Linked DNA regions of Danio rerio. The protein of the gene in region 2 purifies or fractionates together with the protein of the main gene of each other region. This does not show direct contact. Links are inferred from orthologs where the notes say so. Each region holds a gene or a part of one and is shown on either strand. Other genes may lie near its edges.

Region 1 (3,008 bases), on a different chromosome or scaffold from region 2:
ATAGACTAAATATTATTAAAGAAAAAAACGCACGTCAGTGATATGGGAATATTTTGTTCACAGACACCAAACAAAAAAAGGTTATTTGTAAGAGCTGCCGCAGGATTGTTGCAGGCATGAGGAAATACAACCAGTACCTAAAATGTCTACAATATTAAATTGCAAATCAAATCTAAATATCTGTTAAAAAAATTTTGCAATTAAGATATTTTCCCCAAATTGCACAGCCCTAGCATACAGCGTTTGAACCAGGACACTTTAAAATGAAAGTCCTAATGCATGTACCCCATTAAAAATGATTCTAGTTCTAATGCAGTCTGACATTAGCAAATATTCGTTGCCTTATGGATATCTGATGGTTTATCAAAATGTCTCTTAAATTGACAAAATTACAAGGTATTTTTAACTTTGCCAGAAACCACATCATCGAGGAGAGAAGTTTCGTTCCCTGTGAGGATCTGGTTTACGGCAGAATGTCATTCAAAGGCTTCAATCCTGACGTGGAGGTACAGCTTTCATCCGTTTACAGCCGTTTGCTTCCGTTTTGTTAACTGTTCTCAATTATTGTGTTCACGTTATTGGAGCATAATCTGAAGAATAAGCTAAAGGCACAATATGTATGATTTTATTTGTATTAACATATTCAAAAGCCACTTGAACAGTTTATTATATCTTTATTTTTCACTCAGTCATCAAAACACACCTTTGTTTGTTGTGAATACACGCCCTCTAGTGGCTAAATTTACATACTGTGCCTTTAACAATGAGCTGAAAATGCACGTCTTGCTCTAATTATAGCCACTGATAGCCACCTGTAATCTAAAGTGGGGTTTATTCATCACAAGTCTGAATCTGTTGCAGAAATTAATGTTACTAATGAACGCACCAAGAGAGGAAGAGGATGAAGAAGAGGAGGACGAGAGCATGAACAAAATGGAAACCGATATTACGGATGAAGAGATGGCCAAAAGGTGAGCAAGGACAAATACATCTGTAATCTACACATCTGTTATATATATATACGAGGATAGTGATGAAATGAAGCGTCTAAACAATTTTACCAATTACTTCGCTAAAGCAATTCGAAACCGCACATGCTAGAAACCCCTGCTGGTCAACACTCAAACAAAAGATGCATTAGAATTGACTCCCAAACATATTAAAATTGAAAGTTTAACCTATAAATAAACTTGGCTCGTCATCTAAGATCATTAAATGTTAAGTCTCTGCATAATGTTCTTTCATTTAGATGTTTTCAAGGCTTATATATTGCTTGTTAAACTGCTAAACAGGCCAGGAGGAGACTATTAGCTACTTTTAACCATTACTCCTTTTCATTTTATACACATCTCCTTAAAATATTTAACAAAATTTGTAAAACTAATCCGAGATCAATCAGTGAAACCTGTTCAGTGATTGGCCACTGGGGGGCGACCTGAATGAATCTGCGTGATTCTTGTAGATTTTATATTGCACAGATCGCCCCCTTGTGGGGAAGCAATTTCGAAACCATATTGACCATAACGAAGCTCAATTTGAATGAAATCCTGTGACCTTGCCAATTGGAAATGCGCACCGAAACCACTGGTTCGAAACAAAATTGTAATGGTTTCGAATGTGGACATCACCAGCAGATGAAAACCTTGATTTTTGCTTTTGTTTTACAGGTATCAAAGTTTGGTTGAGAGCATGAGGAAAAAGTTCGCCAAGAAAAGAGATCGCAGTGCTGTCTCAAACAAAGAGGATGTCAACTGCAACGTCACTGATGATATTAGACCCAAACGAGCTTTCATGAAGCCACAGGACTGAGACATTTTAAATCTGTAAATGCTTTATTTTTTATGCAATGGACTTCTTTTTTTATTAGTAGTATTTTTTTCTGTTTGGTAACAACAAATGCATTGTTAAAAGACTGTCTTTTATGGGAAAAGCACTAGTGGATGGTGCACTAAGGGGTTTTTTGACAATTAAATGTACCATCGTTGAAAAGCGTAGTAGATCCTGACCAGAGTTTCTTAACCAATTCTTTAAAAAATGATGTGTAGAACTTCCATGTTGTTTTTAAATAATCATTAAGAGAGAATCACATTAATGACACTTAACCAATATGCTGTTTAGACGATATGCTGTAGAGTGAAATCTGCTCTCTCACAGAAACAATATATTCATGAGTCAGAAAGTCAGATTGATGAGATTGTGTTGGAAATGTTAAAAAAAGGTTATTCATAGTGTAAAAAAGACTGCAGAACTTACTATAGCATAATTCAACATTCGAACAGTTATTTAATATTGACATTGCACGACTATCTGGGGTCAAAATCCATTGCTGCTGTGTTCACATTGTATAATGGATCAGTGACAGGAAATTACGCACAGCATGACTTTACAACAGGGAAAAAAAAACGCTGATAACTCTTTCTCCCCAATCACCCCAATGACATACAGTGCATTTAGACAATATTGATAGCGCTTTTTCCACTTTTTATGTCACAGCCTTATGCAAAAATGAATTAAATCAATTTATTTCCTCAACATTCTACTCACAATCCCCCAGAATGACAATGTGAAAAAGTTTTTAAAATTGTTGCAAATTTATTGAAAATAAAAAAGCTGTAAAATCACGTGTACATCAGTATTCACAGCCTTTCGCTGAACCTCGGCCATGTAAGCTGAGTGATCGGGGGAGAATGGCCTTAGTCAGGGAGGTGATCAATAACCCGATGGTCACTCTGTCTGAGCTCCAGCGTTCTTCTGTGGAGAGAAGAGAACCTTACAGAAGGACAACTATCTGTGCAGCAATCCACCAATCAGGCCTGTATGGTAGAGTGACCAGACGGAAGACACTCCCCGCCTGGAGTTTACCAATGTGAAGGACTCTCAGAGCATCAGAAACTAAACTCTCTGCTCTGAGACTAAAATTGAACGTCATGCTGTGGGGATGTGTTTCAGCAGCAGGAACTGGAAGACTAGTCAGGATAGAGGGAAAGATGAATGCAGCGATGTACAGA
Region 2 (3,937 bases):
ATTATATTAATATGATATAATATACTATAAAATATTTTATATATTACACTTTAATACATTTTCTGTGTTTTGAAAGAACATTTGTGATAAACTGTAATTTCATTCATTCATTTTCCTTCAGCTTCGTCCCTTATTTATCAGGGCTTGCCACAGCGGAATGAACCGCCAACTATTCCGGTATATGTTTTACGCAGCGGATGCCCTTCCAGCCTCAACCTAGTACTGAGAAACACACTCTCACATTCACACACACTCATACACTACGGCCAATTTAGTTTATTTAATTCTCCTATAGCGCATGTGTTTGAACTGTGGGGGAAACCAGAGCATCTGGAGGAAACCCACACTAACACCGGGAGAACATGCAAACTCCACACAGAAATGGCTTAGCTGGGACTCGAACCAGCGACCATCTTGCTGTCAGGCAACAGTGCTAACCAATGAGCCACCATGCCATCCAAACTGTAAATTTATATATATATATATATATATATATATATATATATATATATATATATATATATATATATATATATATATATATATATATATATATATACAAATAAATTTTGTTATAATAATGTATTACACTACATTTTGATTTTATGATAAAACTTTTAATGAACTGTAAATTGTAAATATAACATATAATATAATATAATATAATATAATATAATATAATATAATATAATATAACATAATATAATAAAGTACAATAATAATTTATATATATATATATATATATATATATATATATATATATATATATATATATATATATATATATATATATATATATATTTATTTATTTATTTATTTATTTATTTTTTTTTTTTGGGGTGAAATTTTTTTGTGACCTGTATTTATAACATCCTTATATTTTTATTATTTTTATATATATATATATATATATATATATATATATATATATATATATATATATATATATATATATATATATATATATATATATATATATATATATATATATATTCACAAATAGTTGTGAATGTTTCCAGAATAGAGTTCTTGCAAATTACCTCTTCAGAGATAAAAAGCAAAAAACTTGTTTTAAATATTATTTTTACATGGTTCATATTATAAATGAATGATTTTATTAATAAAACTTGAAATGGCACATGGATTGAGTGTGTTGCATCTTATAAATATTCAGATGTCTGGCTTTAGCGTTAGGATTTTATTTTCTTTTAAAAAACTTTTTTTTTCCTTTGAAACTCGAAAAATGTTTAAAACTATAGAGATTGTTAATTAATGGATTAATGAGTGATGTTCCTGTAAACAAAAAATATATATATTAGGAAATAAAAAATGTAATTAAAAAGTAATTAATTGCTAATTACATCATTGAAAATTTATTTAGATTAGATTTCTATTTAATTTGTCTGAATAATGATGTATACACATAACTTAAATTAACTTATTGAACATTATTTGTATAAAACGCAATGGAGTCATACTTCATAAATACCATGTATTTCTGTCAGTAAATAATGTATTACTTATTGTTTCTTCCGCATGTGAAGTGGTTAAACAAATAAAACTTCCATAATTGATAGTAGAACAACAACAACAACAACAACAAACTCCTGAAAAAAATCTTCTCTGAATTGATTTACAGCACTCAAGGAAAGCACATCGTGAGTAACTTTATTAAATAACCAAAAAAACTATTTTTTTCACGAAATTGGATATGTAATTACAGTTACTAGTTACTTTGTAGTGTTTTGCGCTTGTCGTCAGAGAAAGAGAAAGGAAGTAACTTATAGGAGAGTGTGTTTTTTTATGTGTGACAAAATCTGTACAACCAAGAAAACAAATGTGACTCAACGTTTAGCTACAGTATTACAGTATGTATTAATAACAATAATAATACACGTAACTTACAGCTGTTAAACGGCTTTAACGACAGTATCACTACAGGTAACGTAGAAGTCTCGTGTTTATACGATATCGCTATCAGCTGACTGTACATGACTTTTATAAATGTATATCAAGTTATTCATTCAAACCTGACAGAAAAGACTGAACTGTAATAACAGCGTAACGACAACTTTAACTGAATATTCACGTAGGTATACTCACCAATAATTTATTTTTAGCTAAATTCATCTTGTAGAAGCTCCTCAGATAAACAATAACAGTAGGGAGGATGACCGTTTTGAGAAGTACACAACAACACATTAGTGTACTGGACTCTTGCCAAACATGAATAGCACTACTTCAAATTAAAAGTCTCGTGACACGTTAAAAGGCATGTAAGCAAAGCAGGGGATTTCTCAAAGCACCTGAAAATCAATAAAGAAAAAAAGGCTCAGTAAGTGAATTAAAAAGGAAAAAAATATATATAATATATTATATATATATATATATATATAACAACGTACTAATTTTAACTAGATAGATAGATAGATAGATAGATAGATAGATAGATAGATAGATAGATAGATAGATAGATAGATAGATAGATTAGATTTTCAGACTTATCTTTAATGAAAGTTAAATTGAATAACTTTTGTTAATAACTAAATCTACCATGCATTAAACTGTATATTTGTATGTAATCTGATATGTACCCTCTCCTCCTTTTTAGTTAATATTTTTATTTATTTAAATGTTTTCTTTTCTCTTTTAATCCTTCTTGTTAACGAATGTGAAATGATTTTGTTGCACAATGAAAATAACAAAAAACTGTGCAAGTTTAAACTGACCCCCAGTCCGTTAGGTGGCGATAATGCTAGTCGCCATTAAAGATAAAGAAAAATAAATGTTTTTCGCGTGACTTTTATTTTGAAAAACAAGTGTATTGACCGTCGCTTATTTATTCTTGGCTCAACGGAGAGGTATTGATGTGTGCTTGATTACATTATAGCTCTCTTAAACAACCTAAACGAACTTCATATGTAATTTTACGTTGATTTTGTGTTTAGTAAGCTGTCTCAGGGTTTTCTTTACAACACAGGACAACAAGTGTGCGATTATAACTCGCAGACACTGAACACGTGCATAAAGCTTAATCTCCATATTGTCGCTCATGCTGAATTTGCACAGTTGTTAGAAATATATATGTATTGTACTTCTTATTAATTTGGTAACTTACTGCTTTTTAATATGTATCTGCTGTCCACAACTGAATTCTGAAGCATTTTCCCTCGTTTTCCTAACAGCCAAATATCGATTTTTAGGTAAAGTTGGGGTTATATTCGCACATTAGTTCATTTTTAACAGTCTCTACATAGTTCGCCATGTTACTTTAAATATTCGGTCTGAAATCTCATTTAAGTATGACTTCAAGTTCAAAACAACATTTGCACGATTTAACTTGGTGAACAATGTTGTATTTTGAGAGTCATTGGCTGATAATGTGATCTCCCTATTTAGAAATAGCAAATAATATTTTTCTGAAAATATATTATTAAGAAGAAAGTCTGAATGTGTGAATAAAAAAACAACTTTACCTCAATAATATTGACTACAAATCCCCAAAAATAACAAAACGGTTTAATTTAGCAGTTATGCTTAGATCCGTCATTTCAAAACGCATATTAATTACTGTTTTTTTAGGCCAAAGTTTGCAGGAATCATGAATTATCTTAAATGGTTTTTATTAATATATTCTTATGTTACCATTCAGCTGACAGACCATGGCTGATGATGCTGCAGTAGAGGATTATCCCACTGAAATCGAAGACAACCTGAATGATTTCGACTCTTCTTTGAGCTCTGTCCAGAATATGGTCCAGACACTGGTGTCTGTATCCAGAAGTGACCGTCTGCTTAAAGTATGTATAAAATGTTTATATGAAAAGCTGATAAATGAAAATGGCTTAACTATCATGTTTAACCTGTTTTTTACTTCATAAAGTTGGATCCTCTTGAACAAGCTAAACTGGATCTGATGTCGGCATACGCCCTCAAC

The links. The genes of interacting proteins can lie anywhere in the genome.
Region 1: the proteins of c1d (region 2) and mphosph6 purify together in Homo sapiens (co-immunoprecipitation; 3 studies listed by BioGRID and IntAct, counting the BioPlex papers as one, with this or other methods). This does not show direct contact. The link is inferred for Danio rerio from reciprocal best matches to the Homo sapiens genes C1D and MPHOSPH6.

What each region holds. Positions count from the first base shown.
Region 1 is NC_133200.1:38,538,585-38,541,592, reverse strand, and holds the end of mphosph6 (M-phase phosphoprotein 6), read left to right. Parts: intron 1-316; exon of another isoform or gene 317-368; coding exon of another isoform or gene 369-415; coding exon 416-506; intron 507-861; coding exon 862-971; intron 972-1,667; coding exon 1,668-1,809; 3' UTR 1,810-2,508; downstream 2,509-3,008. UniProt on the Homo sapiens protein: RNA-binding protein that associates with the RNA exosome complex. Involved in the 3'-processing of the 7S pre-RNA to the mature 5.8S rRNA and play a role in recruiting the RNA exosome complex to pre-rRNA; this function may include C1D.
Region 2 is NC_133188.1:5,050,394-5,054,330, forward strand, and holds the start of c1d (nuclear nucleic acid-binding protein C1D), read left to right. Parts: upstream 1-1,137; 5' UTR 1,138-1,658; intron 1,659-1,713; exon of another isoform or gene 1,714-1,941; intron 1,942-2,103; exon of another isoform or gene 2,104-2,190; intron 2,191-2,830; exon of another isoform or gene 2,831-3,203; intron 3,204-3,652; 5' UTR 3,653-3,662; coding exon 3,663-3,800; intron 3,801-3,883; coding exon 3,884-3,937. UniProt on the Homo sapiens protein: Plays a role in the recruitment of the RNA exosome complex to pre-rRNA to mediate the 3'-5' end processing of the 5.8S rRNA; this function may include MPHOSPH6.